Linked DNA regions of Arabidopsis thaliana. The protein of the gene in region 1 interacts with the protein of each later gene in a pairwise test. Each region holds a gene or a part of one and is shown in the gene's direction. Other genes may lie near its edges.

Evidence for each region.
Region 2: the proteins of LRL1 (region 1) and AT1G49830 interact in a two-hybrid assay, tested with the Arabidopsis thaliana proteins (one large-scale study listed by BioGRID).

The regions. Positions count from the first base shown.
Region 1 is NC_003071.7:10,320,545-10,324,479, reverse strand, and holds the start of LRL1 (LJRHL1-like 1), read left to right. Parts: upstream 1-2,056; 5' UTR 2,057-2,302; coding exon 2,303-2,593; intron 2,594-2,622; exon of another isoform or gene 2,623-2,658; coding exon 2,659-2,829; intron 2,830-2,973; coding exon 2,974-3,039; intron 3,040-3,581; coding exon 3,582-3,647; intron 3,648-3,935.
Region 2 is NC_003070.9:18,444,539-18,448,473, reverse strand, and holds AT1G49830 (basic helix-loop-helix (bHLH) DNA-binding superfamily protein), read left to right. Parts: upstream 1-1,701; 5' UTR 1,702-1,814; coding exon 1,815-2,084; intron 2,085-2,274; coding exon 2,275-2,376; intron 2,377-2,474; coding exon 2,475-2,540; intron 2,541-2,839; coding exon 2,840-2,941; intron 2,942-3,123; exon of another isoform or gene 3,124-3,150; coding exon 3,151-3,363; downstream 3,364-3,935. Other genes in the region: MTK (S-methyl-5-thioribose kinase), read right to left, coding at 3,567-3,735, 3,823-3,935.

The DNA.
Region 1 (3,935 bases):
TATTGTGAAAAAATGCAATTATATAAAAAAAATATAATGAATAGAGAGATTTTGTTTCATTAAAATGTGTTCATGTTAGCAATTAATGGAAAAGAGGAAAACAATATTTCTGACTACAAAATACAGACCTCGAAACCTTAAATGTATTAGTTAATGAATCCAAATGAAGAAGTGTCAAACATCCGGACACAAAAATTAAGTTTGCAAATATTTTAATGTTATTATTTATCCCAAAAAGAGTATATGGTGAATGTGGCACAATCTAAAGAAATACCAAATTTTCAGCTACATATAAAAATAAAAAAAAAGAAGAATAATAACTATCTATTTATAAAGAAAAAGCTCCACGTCGTACGTGATTAGCTCAAAAGATAAGTTATCATATTGATAGGGAATTTCATTTTAAAAAGTTATTATCATATTTTGTAATTATTAATTTACGAGTATCGTCTTTGGGATAGGATGTTTGTGATCTTGGGGGCATAGAAAAAAACAGTAGAATTTCGAGAGCTCTAGCATCATTGATGAATGTACCTGCTCGAGTTTATAATTTTAGACCATTGTCAATTATCATCGTGAAAAGATTATTAAAACATGAATGTAATATTTCATTCTCGGATTGTATTAATAAATATATAATATGTTTCATTTTATGAGTAATTTTGTACTATACATAATTCAGTTAATGATCAATTGCGGAAAATTCTAAATTTTTATATAATGAGAAACTTATTTACAATTTTAAAACTTATTTAACATTCGTATATATGAGTTGAACAAATGCACCATGTGTGTGTGAACAAATTTGCAGTACCATGTAAAACTAATTAGCTTACCAAGATGGACTACAAGTGTTTTTGGTCGGGCTAGAAGTAAATGGGTTGGAAACTGGTCATAGATATGGGTAAACGACCAGCGGCTGTGCTCTTTTAACCATCTCCTAAATTACTTTAATCCAAAGCCAATATTTTTTGATCATTCTCATTAAAATGGTTGGTTTTCCAGTGAATTTTGAAGTTAAGGTATATCTGTAGATAGTCAAGTAGCTAGATTAATCATTGGGTAACACTTAGGTGGTCCGAGACCATTTTGGGTAGCTCCAATGTACATCTCTTGAATTCCATCGATCCAAAGGGTCGTTTGGTTTCATCATTCTCCTTAAAATGATGTACTCTCTGAAAAGAAAAAAAATAGGTTAACGTCGTTAGGTCGAATGGATTTTTCAATGGGTAAGTAAGTATTTTTGATTTTGGTATGGTTCGGATAAATTCACGTTTATCCGGCTAAATGGCTCGAACATTTTGAATTCCACCCAAATGGTTAATCAACTTCTTAGGAAAACCTTTTGAGTGAATATCCAAGCCTCTATTTAATCGATCAGATCTAGGATTGGACAAGGATATCCTCCTTGTATTTGGTTTTTGGTGGGACTAATTAGGTAACTCCTTGGTCCATGTAAAATTTTTAGAAGCCACAATTGAAACGTAAGAAAGGCACTAATAATCACGGGCATGCCATCATCACCCATATACAGTATAATATTTATATAAGATTTTTTACACATATTAACAAAACACAAAAATCTCATTTAAATTATTTCCTTTCTATAAAAACATTATTAATTACACCTAATTTAATTAATAAAAAATATGTAACAAAATATAATTGATCAAAAATATTAAATATATTTAATTTTTGTATAGAAAAATGAAAACAACATTTATTTTACAACAACAAAACAAATCATTAAACTACATGAAAACACAAAAATAATAAAATTGCTAAACAATAAATGTTATCTAAGAAAACTATAATTGTATACAAAAGCTAGCTATTACACTTAGCACCATATAAATAAACTTCTTATCCATCAATGTTTAATATATATTTGTATAGTAAAATAAAACTAGTTTGCATCTGAAAAAGTATAATCAAATAAAACTCTTTAGATAGCAATATGTACATTAAAAAAAGACTTATTTTCATACGTATTAAGCTGTAAAAAATAATGATTAAGATTTGGGGTAAAGAGAAACCAAAGTTTAAGACGGAAACGAAACAAAAGATGATAATCATCGATTCATCATCACGATATAATATGGGTTGCTAACCACAATAGAAAAACAAAAGTTCTTTTAAGGTTTTAATAATATATCACCAAAAATGATAATTAAAACCTAAAATTAAAATAATATATCTACAAGACTACAACAATTCTGCTTTATAATAAAGCTATAAACCTCAACATTTTTCAACCTCTTCCCAAAAAAAAGTGTAGAAGCAGAAGAAACCCATCATCATCATGATGAACTCTTCTCTTCTAACTCCTTCTTCTTCATCTTCTTCCCATATCCAAACTCCATCAACAACTTTCGACCACGAAGACTTCCTCGATCAAATCTTTTCCTCGGCCCCGTGGCCCTCCGTCGTCGATGATGCTCATCCTCTTCCCTCCGATGGCTTCCACGGCCACGATGTCGACTCAAGGAATCAGCCGATCATGATGATGCCTTTGAATGATGGCTCCTCCGTCCACGCTCTTTATAATGGCTTCTCCGTCGCCGGATCTCTTCCTAACTTTCAAATCCCTCAGGTATAATCTCTTTCTCTTTTCTAAGTTTTTCTCTTCTTGAAAACGAGACTTATGGTGAAATATAGGGATCGGGAGGAGGATTGATGAACCAACAAGGACAAACGCAAACGCAAACGCAACCTCAGGCGAGCGCGTCTACAGCTACTGGTGGTACGGTGGCGGCTCCGCCGCAGAGTAGGACTAAAATCCGAGCTAGGAGAGGTCAAGCAACTGATCCTCATAGTATCGCCGAAAGGGTTAGTTGTTTTTGTTTTTTATTTTACTTTGTTCGATGCATTAATTTGTATCAGTTACCGAGAAAGGTGTCGAAATTGAATTTTTTTTAGCTTTTTGAAGAAAAGATTTGAGTATTTTCTGGAAAAAATGTTTTTATGGGACAGTTACGAAGAGAGAGAATTGCGGAAAGAATGAAAGCTCTTCAAGAACTCGTTCCTAACGGCAATAAGGTAAATTTTTATTCAATTCATTTTCAGTTTAGTTTCCAAAAATTAAGATTAGTTAAAATATTAAATGGATCATTATGAAAATAAACTTCACTTTCCATCATTTTATTCATCATCCACTCTTGATTCGTGCGATCCATAATTCCATCTAATTTACAATTTAAACTCCATCGTCTATTTATAGTTCTCATCTTCTAGACCTAAAATTGAAAAAATACAAAATAAATAATGAAAATAAGTGTCGAAATGATCAGGAACTTTCTTGGAGCTAGTTGTTCAAGAGATAGTTTTAGGCTGTCAACTAGAACTTTCAGGAGTTAACAAGTAAATTTATATTTTTTGTTTTACTCATATAATTGGTGGTTGTGTAGTCTATCTATATATAGGAGTAGCTAGTAGTATATATCAATCAAATGATTAAACACTGATTAGCTAATTAATTAATTAGGCTACAATAATAAAGTTAACTAATGCAGTAATAAATGAGTTAGGATCTCAGTTCTGACAGTTTTGTTTTTGTATTTTATTTGTATAATAATGGACAGACAGACAAGGCATCGATGCTCGATGAGATCATAGATTATGTCAAGTTTTTACAACTCCAAGTCAAGGTGAATCTCTCCCTCTCTCTCATATATTTACAGTTATTATTTTATTAAGTTTGTTTTTCATACGTACAAGGGGTAATTCTTTTACAGAGTGCAATTTGTTTTATTTTATTCTCTTCAATATAGATGGAAGATTCGTTTTTTTGCCTTTTAGTTTGACATATTAAACAAAAAGAAAAGCTGACATATTAGTACAATCTTTACATACCAATATATCAAATTTATGGGCCTCTGCAACTAAAATTCCTTATGCTCCCTCCTCAAATTTTATATATACATTCTGGATTATTA
Region 2 (3,935 bases), on another chromosome or scaffold:
ATTGAAATAAGCAATGTGAAGAACTTACCAGGTTAAGGAAATTATGAGCAAGGCATCTTACGGAGGGACAATTCCTATACACAAAGCTATTAGGATTCATGTACTCATCAATGTCTCTGACTCAAAAAATATTTCGACGTTACCGTGACGGTTCTATTTACAAAACTCTGATTCCCTGTTAGGTGGTCCCTCTTCAAAGCTAAGAGAATGTGTAAACACACAACACAAACACAAGTTTCTTTTGGCAAATCAAGTCTAATTCCTTCTCATAACTTGGCAGTCTTTAAGTACACAAAGTAAAGCAAAGGGGATCGACAACTAATCCTAAAAACAAAGAACATTATTAACAAAGTGGGAATATGGAAACGTGGAGCTTGATCTCCTAAATCTAAGTAACGCACTTATCAATTCTTCTATTCTTTTTGACCATTTCTTCTGTGGTTCAATCATGGTTAAGCACTTATCATTCACCAAAAACATCTGCTTCATATATCCACGTTACCTGCAATGATAAAATGGGTTTGATTCCTTGATAACTCCAAAAAGATGCAAAGAAGATAATGATTCTGAATTTTTGATACAACACTGGTACAAAGCAACTTCAACTGAGATAAGAGACCCCGAAAAGTGACAAACCCCATCTCCGATTTGGTTCACAGTCCTCTCCGATTAAGTTCACCAAACTAGTCGACGTTGAGCACCGTCGGTTGAGATGATGAGCACGATGGATAAGAGACAAATTCCGTCGATAATCTCTTCCAATTTGATGATATAAACGCGTGATGATGATGATCACCAATCGCTCAATCGCCACCGGAGTTAACAAGAGAAGAGAAGAGAGGAAAATCGATTTGAAAAACAAAACACGGCAAAAGAAAAAAAAAAGTTTTGTCAAAAAAACACAACCAATGATTAGTTGCCACGTATGCGCACCTTAACAACTGAAAAAACTCTAAAATTAGGTGCGATCCCAAGTTTAAATCACATTTTAGATTTATTTTTTTCCAAAATTACTTAAGGATTTATGTTAAAAACTGTTAAGGATCTCCCAATGGACTTGCTCTTAATGTAAAGATTGATACGAAAACAGGCCATACACACTGATTTGGTTCAGCCTGAAGCAGTCAAAGTTATGGATGGTTATTTACTTATTTTGGTTAATTTACCATAGCAATGAAACAGACACAGTGACGACTTGTATCCTAAGCCTTTTAAGTGTCCAAAAATGAAACTAAACTTGTGGACTACTCAACTCTGTCAACCCTCCTAAATTTAGCGTGGTCTTGCAGCTGTACGTACCTCACTCTTCTTCGCGCATGTCAAACATCTTTGTCTTTTTTATTTTTGTAAAAATAATTTTTCAGTTTTCACACTTTTTTATTATTATTTTAAATGAAAAAAATAGTATGTTTTTTAATTCAAAATGTGAGAGTTTTACATCAATGTGAGTTTCTCGAGCTTTTCTATTGGGATTTTAATATCTTTATCCGTAAACATTTTGTGTTTGATTAGTTTGTTTTACAAAATTCATCATTTCGAGTAAATAGAAACCAACAGTTTTCTTGGGCCAAGTTGCCTTACCATTTTTCTGATTTCTCCTTTACCAACTTATCCCATTGATGTAATATCATAGTTAACTATTGTTGCTACTTGCTATAACTGAAATTATGCAATTTTTCATCTTCTTTTTTTACTATTAAAATACATTTATTGATACTATTCTTTTCTGGTTTCTCACCTTTTCACTTGTTTTCTTCTTTCTCTGTCAATTCCACAAACAAGCCTAAGCAAGAAAAAGAAAAAAAAACTCTACGATGAGAGGCACAACGGACGAAGAAGACGGTGTCATGAACTTCTCTGATGTTCTTATGATGTCTGATGATGTCCTTAGCTCCGGTGAAGTAGAAGAAGACAGCTTTGGTTTCAGATTCACCGGAAACGATGCTCCTCAAATGCTCTGTTTCGGCGGAGGAAACCAAAACGACACCGATCTGCTCTTCTCACAACCCTCTTTCTCTCCCGCTTCCCCTCTCTCTTCACGCAATAACGCCTGTGTGGTCAATGATCAATCTTTTAGATCCAATGTAAGTTATATATATGTAAAACATTCCTACAGTTAATATTATTTGAAATTTTAGCCAAGCTTTAAGGTCATTAAGTAAAGTGACAAGATCATTAAAAAGTATATGCATCAGTGCATGCAACAAGTCAAACACAAGATCATTATAATGTATAATTTTTATTTTGTTTAATGTTTGTCTCTTTGTTTTGAAGAAGAAAACCGGGTCGGCTGATGGGCACGACCGGGTTTGCGATCCAAAACCCGGTAAGAGATGCAAGCGAGATCAGAAGAAGTCATCGCTTGGAAATGCTAAGGTTTGGCTTTAAAAGTGTGTATATTTATGTATACTTATCTAATGGATCAGCTATTTGGGTGAATAATAGTAATTAACAAATGCTATTCATAAAAATAGGTCAAGAAAGAAAAGGTTGGTGAAAAAATCACAACATTGCAGCACTTGGTTTCTCCATATGGCAAGGTGGATCAATATACTAAAACAAGTTACCTTCTCTCTTTGTTTTTGGTTCATATATCTCTTATCAACATAATACTGAACTAAAATCAAAACCCTGAATCTAGGTGATTAAATTTTGATGTAAACTTGAAACTTTTACTATAGTTACGTCATTTGGTATTAGCTTGAAACCTTTACTTGTAGAGAGATATTCACGGACTATATTTTACTGTTTTGGAGGTACATTATGTGTTTTGGTAATTAAAATTAGTTTACTTTCTACATTTTAACTAAGAAAAATGTAATTTGGAAAATTTGAATAGACAGATGCAGCATCAGTGTTGCATGAAACAATGGGTTACATAAAATTCTTACAAGACCAAGTTCAAGTTCTTTCAACCCCTTACTTCAAACATAACCCTCTTGTAAGTCATCCATCATCCTTTTGTATTATCTTATTTCATTTTTTTGTTACACTTTTTTCTTGGTATCCTCTTTTTTTGTTACACTCTATGTCTTTATCAATAAAACCGGAAGATATTTATTTTTCCATGATTCGAAACGACTGTTTTAAGACTTAAAAGATTACTATTTTGACGGTGTTGTGACTGATGAATAGTTGATGTGTCGTCAGGACGACGAAGACACCGGAGAAGTAAACCCGACGATGAAAGTGAAAGAGTTGAGAAGCAATGGTTTATGTCTTGTTCCACTAGCTTGGACCGTACACGTGGCGAATACTAACGGTGCTGATTTATGGTCCTCTGCCATCTTGTCACCACTCACCAGTCACACCAACAGTGAACCAGTAGAGATTGTGGAAGTCAAATCTCATAAAGATAAGTAGATAATCTTCAAAAGTGAAAATATTTCTAAACTTTTATTATTATTATTGTAACAAAATGCATTTGAATACCATCATCACCACCACAAACCACTAAATTACAAATCCATGTGATAAGCAGCATTGTGATACTTTTCTTGCCAATTAACTCCCAAGATCAAAACAAGACTTTCAAGAACTTCAGCAGAAGAACATTATAAATTGTCTTAGCTTTGTTGTTGAATTGCTGAAACAACTTCACCGATACTCTTAAACTTTCTCCTTTCCTTGAGAAGCATCTTCGCAAACTCGAGTGCACTTCTCTCGCAAATAGCTCTTCGCTTATCTTCTTCGATTGATTCAAAGTCCTCAACATGTGCCACTCCCACAATTCTCCTGCCATATCATCAAACCAACACTGTCAACAACGTTTCTGAGTTTATATGATCGACAAAGAAATCTCATGGACTAAGATTCTCTCACCTAATCATCTTTGCAGCGCCGAATCCGAGTGAGTCATGCAACAAATTCCTCATGTAGTTTTCTTGAACAAACTTCAAAACCTCGGTATTGTTATAGATATCTGCAAGGTATGC